Linked DNA regions of Caenorhabditis elegans. The protein of the gene in region 1 purifies or fractionates together with the protein of each later gene. This does not show direct contact. Each region holds a gene or a part of one and is shown in the gene's direction. Other genes may lie near its edges.

Region 1 (4,530 bases):
TTTTCATTCTGTATACATTTGCCATTTCTTCTTTCATAACAGCTAATCGATCGTTTACATTTCCTTTAAAGTGCTCATCGTTTACAGAAACAGATCTCGATCGGTGTGATTGTTGCAATTGTTCATCCAATAACGAATAATTTTTGAACATGTCTTTCACACATCTTTGCTGGCGTTCTCGTTTGCACAATCGATTCAGTATTTCCAAGCGAAAGGAAGTCCGATTGTCGGTCATCCTCTGAAAGACAACTATTACTCGAGAGAAAAAAAAGTTTCATAAAAATCTTATCGTTTCATACGACTTAATGAATATATGAACATAAAAGCAAATGCAGGTTTAAATCGATATGAATAAAAAACCTATTGCACATGTCTTGCAAGAAACATATGCACCATGTGTGCCCTTGACGCATTTTGCGATGCAATGCGTACGAGAAACGCGCCAACCCTAGACCACTTTGAGAGGGAGGGGAAGGATAGAGTAATCCCGCGAAATTAATCTTGTTTTAAAGATTTGAATAATTAACTGGAGAACATAGAAGATATTAGAAATGGCATATTGAAATTGCTGTCAACAAATTAAACTGGGTATATTCAGATGGTACTTATGGTATTGTCACACTTGAAATAGAATGTAAACATAGGTTTACAGGTTTATTAACAAAGTTGAAGCTTAAACCTGTGGGATTTGCAGGACTTGAAGGTACCAAGAAGTCTGGAGTCAGTGTCCTATGTTTCAAGTAGATAACTAGCATCAACTAGTATGGTATGTTCTAGTTCATCAACTTATTGGTTTTTTATTGGGTTTTCAAAAAAAGCAAACACAAACATTGACAGGAGCCCGGAAAACGCAATTTCGAAATGAATTCTAGGTTAACAACCATTTGTAGCATAAATTTCATTTTGATACTACCAACGGTTTTGAAATTAAGAGACAATAGATTTTTTGGTTTTGAAAAACAGCAGCCTTGAGTATGCGAAGTTGTACTGTGAATTGTTCACAGAATGAATATACTTCATGTTTAAATTGCGCTTTAAATCTTACAATTATAGTATCCGTAATAAAAAGTTAAGTAGCGAGCAGAAACTCTGGCATAGACTTCAACTCCTCCAGTTTTTTTTTTAATTTTTCTCCAATTTCCTGCCTATTTTGGCATATATTGAACAGTGTTGCCTACAGTAAAATAATCTATGTTTTCAGGAATACTGCGACTCATTCTGCCCAAATATTTACTTTTATATTCTGAACAAAAATAGGTTTCTTCTTTCTTCTGTCCATATTTTCCAATAAGCTTTCCTCTGTTTAGAGTTACAGTAATCCTAAGTGGCAAGTGATGGAGTAAATCCGATGCTCTCTCATGCTCATCATAAGCTCTCACATTTAATAAAATTCATTTTCCCGCCCTATGTCCACCTCCTCCTTCATTTGATTTTCTACCCATCATTCATTCTGCTCACTACTTTTAAGTTAGAAGAATATTCTACTTTTTAATTTTGATTTTTTGTTTATTGTTCAGCTATGAAAGTTTGATGAGAAACTATCAGATAATCAAGTTTCACTTCATCAAATAAATTTCATTCTAGGGTTATATTTTATGTGCTTTTGTGTCTTAATTTCATCTGTTGGGTCACATTTTTTGAAAAATGTAAACGGAAACACCGAAACAAAAATAAATAGTCAAGATACAGTCAAAAGATTCAAACATTCTTGATCAGAAATTTTACAATTTTCTTAATTTTTCTGGTTTGAAAATGTGTTAACACTCTTGTTACTTTGGCATCCTTCACTTTTAGACCCAAAAAAATGCAGATACTGCAGAATGTTCAACCGTAAACTCATGGAATGTTCTGATGACGAATTCGTTCGTGGATCTCAATGTGACGAAGAAGATGAAGAAGAGCAACAACGACAATCTTCCCAAAGACCACCATTTGTAGGCTCCGCCCTTTTTATTCCTCTTCAGTATATTTTATTTTTGCAGTACGAGAATATGCGCACATTTGCTCCTTCCCATATGCATATCTCGTGTCATTATGATATACCGTATCCTCCACATCTTATTCAACCTCCAGTTTGTGGAGTCAGCACTTTTACATATGCAAGAGAGTTTCCAGTGAGCAATTCACAACAGTTCTTCAATGTTACTCCCCCACAACAACAGCAACAACAAGGGACTGGAGGAAGTGGAGAGGAAGATTACTGTATTCCTAAATCAGAAGATAGAGATCACTCATCTAATTACAGTATAAAATCCTATAAAATCTTAAGTACTGTATGTTAATATTAAGGTCAAGTTGCCACAAAACAGGATCGTCCATTCGTTTTCTTTGCTTCTGACTGTCAATCTCCCCTTGAAATTGTTGGTGAAGTCTACTGCACTGTTCCAGGACGCACAAGTCTCTTAAGCTCTACAACTAAATATCGGGTTACTGTAGCAGAAATACAAAGACGCATCAGCCCGCCAGAATGCTTAAATGCGTCTCTTCTTGGTGGTATTTTGAGAAAGTAAGAAAGAAGAATAATAAATAATAGTAATAAGTTGTGAGGTTGCAGGGCTAAGTCAAAGGACGGTGGGAAAACATTGAGGGATTCTCTCAAGAAACTTGGTTTGACTCTTCCTGCTGGTAGAAGGAAGCAAGCAAATGTTACAGCTTGGACGGCTTTAGTTGAAGGTTTGTTAAGAGTTTTGGGGAATGGGGTAGGGTTGGTGACGATATAAATTCTTAGGTCCTTAAAATTACAATTCCAACTAATACTTACCAAAATGTCTCTTTAAGAATCCTGAATTTAAGTTCTATTAACGCTCCATAACGCTCGTACTTGTCATGTAAATTTGTTGAATTCCAGAAGAAGCAATTCACATGGCAAAAGAGTTTGCTCTCGTATGTGAAAAGGAATTTCATTCCCGAGAAATTGGAATCTACTTGACAAAAACCTCTCTAGCAATCGATCCGGACGTTGTAAAGCGGAGAACTGCACTGGAAATGAGCAGGAAAGTTGTTGGAGAGCTCGCTGAACTTCTCTCCTGTGACCGTACACCTCTTACTCCATATTTTCCTAGAAATATGCTTCCGATTGATCCTTCTGTACAACAGCATTTATCACATTTTACGCTGGTACTGTTAAAATTCAAAATTAGCGAATCCATAAAACATTTTTTAATTTCCAGATGACTCATGGTTTCGGAAACGTGGCAATGAGTGCAGTACTGGAATCAGTTAAGTTAATGATTGATGAAAGTATCAAGTATATTGATCGATGTTGTTCTCAAAATGTCTGGAGATAATTACGCTTTGTCTTCTTGTTGAATACTTTTTTGATTGTCTCAAGCATGTATGTAAACCACAAAATTAATATAAATTCGCAATCAATAAAATAAATTTATCACAAAAATCATTCGGTTGTAATATACAATGTACGACGCTTTTCCAATGACTCTGGAAAGTTAAAAAATTCAAGAATTTTTAAATAAAGATTTCAGAAAAAAAAAACCAGAAAAAATCCACTACGAGATCTCGATGTAAAATAATTTTGATTATAAATCATTTCACCTAAAAAATGAGCCAATTGCTGAAATTTTTAACAATCTTCGGCAATTGATTTGAACAAAAAGTTAAAAATTTAAAAAAACTTGGGAAATATCAAAATACAATCAGATTTAGCACATGAAAAAATGGCAAAATAAAAGTGTTTCTTGTAATCCTACAAATGAGTTTCTTGAGCGTCAGAGCTCAAAACAATTCGAAGAGTCTCAGATATTCGGCGGGAGTTATGGTAACGGGGAGCGGCACTTGTTGAAGTAGATCTGAAATTCAAGATTTTTCAAATTAAAAAATAATTCTTAAAAAGCTCACGGAATAGGTTGTTGTGGTTGAAATAACTCGACCGCTTCCCGATCAGTTATTGAAGGAAAAGCATGATCAAGAATCAAAAGACATTCATCTGTATTACACACATCACTAACACTTTGTACATGTTCTTGTTGACGAGAAACTCGAAATGTTCCTTCTTCTGCATTTGAAACATCTGAAAAAATAAAAACCCTTCAAGTGAAAAAAATGTCACAGTACAATTTTGAAAGACAAAACCTTTGGAATGTTTTGCAATTTTCCAAAAAAATTATTAAAAATTCCAAATTATCTAAAGTGTCTAGGGTACATTTTTGGTCAATTTTTATGTTGAAAATTTTTTTGAATAAAAACTTACAATCCAAAAATCTCCAATTCTTGTCAGGCTCATAGGGAAGGGAGTTGTGCTCAACGAGAAGTCTCTGAATGAGAACTCTTGCCGAATCAAGTTCGGCTTCTGATTCAACATTCACGATTCCAATTTCGTAAGCTGAAAATATTAATTTCAATTTTCGATATTATCTCATCATAATGGCTGAGTGGAGCATACTTTTATTACTAAAAATTTAATTGGAGAATAAAACACATTTTCCAGGCTGCACAGTTCACACAAAAATTTCTTGCAGCTGATAACGGTGGCCATCAAATTTTGAAACTATATTCGTTATTCGTATATCCAAT
Region 2 (3,148 bases), on another chromosome or scaffold:
ACGGAATGGAGGCTGGAATAAAATTTGATGATATTTATCAATTAATTTTTTTTCTTCATTTAAAAGTTCAGTATGATATTGCCACGGGAAATTTGAATTTTTTCAAAAATTTATAAATTTATAAATAAATTTTTTTTGAATGAAAATAATCTTCCACATTTCAGAATAAACCATACCTCAGATCCGTTGCTGACGTAGTTCTGATTTGACTCCATCTTCGGCGCTTCCGCTTCCATCTTGTTGCTCATTGCAGCCTGATTATCCGATGAATCTGTCACATGTGGCTCGATTTTAGGCTCGCTCTTCGGATTGTGCTGCTTTCTCCTCGGATCTTTTGGAGCGCCCATCTTGTTGTAAGCTCTCGCCTGGAAAATTACGTTGAGAAATGGAGGAAGTTCAGTGAAATCGGAGGTTACACTCACTTTCATGAGCACTGATTCTATCGCAAAATCAACCGAATTCTGAGATGAGACTTTTTTTAAAATTTTAAATGAATAAAACACTTACTCTATCCATTTCGGAAACCGATTCATGGGAATTGCCATTCAAATGATTTTGAGGAGCTGCGACGCTTGCTTCCTGTAATCAATATCATTGAATAATCGCAGAAAAATAAAAAATCGTACAGAAACTAATGGCGTTTGATGCTCAGTAGAGGAAAGAGCCGGTTGAGAGGCTGTGTATGACATTCCTGGCTCGCCGATTGCCGATTCGTGATTCTTATGGTCGGAATGCTGATCCATCATTAGAAGTGCTGATTGGTCTCGAGAAAACTCGTTTTTTTGTATATTTATATCATTACCATCCATTTGGAATGTGTAGATTCTGGAAAACAACGATTTTTAACGGAAAACTCGAAAACTTCAACGAATAGTCGATTGAAAGGGAAACAACGGACAAAATAACATGAAAATAGCTTCGAAATGTTTAAATTTATTTCTGTTACAACATTTTTCAATAAAAAACTCCAGAAAAATGATGGAAAACTGAAATATATGCTGAAAAAACTGTAAGCCTCGAGGAGATGTGAAGAAGAAGAGAAACGAGACGCAGCATGCGAAACAAGAGACACTGCGAAACGGGGGAACGTGAGTCGCGATGAAATTTACGAGTTTGTGGGATTAAATACTAATTAGTAGATAAACTTTAAGATGAAAATATCAATATTGATTAGTTGAATTGATTGCAATTCTGAATACAAAAAATTTTTAACGAGAAAATCAATTTCTGCCTGTCCACTTCCGGGTTTTGGTGTCTCGCATTCACCGTTCACTCGCTTCGCAGTGTCTCCGTCTTTCTCACCTTCCGTATTCTCACACTTGGCACGTAGCCAAGCGGCTGGTCTCGCAACGATTGTTTTTGTTTTCCGTCAGCCGTCTCTGCGCCTTTAACCTCTCACAGCCTGCCGATTATTTTTTAAGCAGATTTTTACTATTTTTCAGCTTTCAAGCTTCATCCATTAGCAAAATCAAATAATTTTTTGATTCATTGTGTAGAATTAACGATTTTCGTATAGTTTCTGTTTTTATAACCGCCTGAATCGTATTCTCTGTTTCGTTTTCTATGGATTATCATGCTTGCTCAATTACTCTGTAAATTTAAACGATTTATTGCAGGATGCTGAACCGTGCTGTGCTCTCCTTGGCTAGAAGCCAACATGTCATCCGTCGCTCGCTTCACAAGGGAGTTGACTCGACCCCACCACTCCGTTTCACCTCTGTCAGCGAGAAGGTAATTTTTTATTTGCTAAATGTCTTGAACTTATCCTTGTGAGCAGTAAAACTTAAAATACCACTAGCTCACCAAAAAAAACTAAATTTCAGTTTGTACATTCGTTTGAATGGATTTGAAAAATTAATTTCTGAACTAAAAGATACAGTTTTGAAATTTGTCTCACTTTTAATTTAGCTGCTCAAAAACATATTTATCCAGATATCCATATTATTCACTATAACACCAATTTTTTCAGGTTGCCCTTTACGGACTCATCTGCGTCGCTTTCATGGCATACCCAACTTCCGTCCTCTTCAGACTTGATAGTCTTCGCCCAAGACCGGATAATGCTCTCTCCCCAGAAGTCCAAGAAGAGATTGACGCCCGTGTTGCCGCCCGCAGACAGTAGAAGTAATATTATGCCACGAGCCATTGTGTAGACTTTTGAGAACAACAATAAATCGATTCTTGTTTTCTCTTCGCTTTTTCTCAATTTTATTCGCTGTCAAATGTGGTTTATCCATCCATGAAAGATAAATGTTCGATTCGGTTTTTCATTTAGAATTTTTTTGATAATTGTTTTAAAGATGGTACGTCAATTCACCTGGAGAGGAACGATTTCTCAGCCGTTCGCGATTAAACTTTTCAAAGGAATTTGGAATTCACATCCAAGATTCGCAACTCGAACAGTAATGGTGCAGAACAATGATGTCGATGGAGCTTTCGGACTTCTTAACAGGTTTTCTTTGGAAAAATTCCCAGAACATAATTTCAAGATTGAAATAATTTCAGATTGATGGATTCAGAAGGAATGCTGAAAATCATTCGCCGCACTCAATTCTATCAGAAGCCCTACATGCAACGAAAAACACTGTCGATGGAAGCATCAACGGCGATTTTCAACGAGGACATGAACCGGAAAATGAAATTTCTCGTTCGAAAAAATCGTCCCGACAAGCATCCCGGACAAGTGACGTCCTAATTTCGATCTCAGAAAATAGTTGTTTTGAGTTTTTTGTTTTGTTTTGTTTTACAGCAATAAAAGTGTAAATTAATTGAGAATTTAGAAACAAGGATATTGGTTTTAATGTAAAAAGTTGAGGATCGTCGGTATGGATTTTAAGGATTGCACACGTAGAATGAGGAGAAACAGGCGCCGCAGCGCCCGCGGGGCGCTTGTCGCGGCGAGACCCGTGCCGGAGGAAAATGCCTGCGCCTTTAGTTTGCTACTGTCTCTCTCACTCCGCTGTCACGGGAAAACATCCCATTCTCGGGTCGCTGCGCTCCCCCGAGAAAAGGTTTTCCCTTGTTCCTAGCTCCGTTCGAGAGAAATGAGGTTTAAGGATTAAGGTATGGATTGCAAGGGAAGCCAAACATGGAAAAACCTGATCAATGAATTTTTGCGGTTTTTAGTCAAAAATACAGTGACAAGTTT

What was found. The genes of interacting proteins can lie anywhere in the genome.
Region 2: the proteins of aptf-1 (region 1) and F29B9.11 fractionate together in Caenorhabditis elegans (co-fractionation; one large-scale study listed by BioGRID). This does not show direct contact.

Annotation. Positions count from the first base shown.
Region 1 is NC_003280.10:6,453,154-6,457,683, forward strand, and holds aptf-1 (Transcription factor aptf-1), read left to right. Parts: upstream 1-1,817; 5' UTR 1,818-1,820; coding exon 1,821-1,934; intron 1,935-1,982; coding exon 1,983-2,244; intron 2,245-2,289; coding exon 2,290-2,506; intron 2,507-2,554; coding exon 2,555-2,673; intron 2,674-2,848; coding exon 2,849-3,117; intron 3,118-3,170; coding exon 3,171-3,287; 3' UTR 3,288-3,393; downstream 3,394-4,530. Other genes in the region: atg-16.2 (Autophagic-related protein 16.2), read right to left, coding at 1-235; dgk-5 (Diacylglycerol kinase), read right to left, coding at 3,704-3,806, 3,856-4,027, 4,208-4,339. UniProt on the Caenorhabditis elegans protein: Transcription factor, which is required in the single sleep-active ring interneuron RIS for sleep-like behavioral quiescence induced by neuropeptide signaling in larvae. Regulates gene expression of sleep-inducing FMRFamide-like neuropeptide flp-11 in RIS.
Region 2 is NC_003282.8:4,658,670-4,661,817, reverse strand, and holds F29B9.11 (Cytochrome c oxidase polypeptide VIIc), read left to right. Parts: upstream 1-1,616; 5' UTR 1,617-1,617; coding exon 1,618-1,731; intron 1,732-1,969; coding exon 1,970-2,122; 3' UTR 2,123-2,187; downstream 2,188-3,148. Other genes in the region: jmjd-1.2 (JmjC domain-containing protein), read right to left, coding at 1-12, 177-461, 508-579, 627-809; mrps-21 (Mitochondrial Ribosomal Protein, Small), read left to right, coding at 2,301-2,452, 2,506-2,695.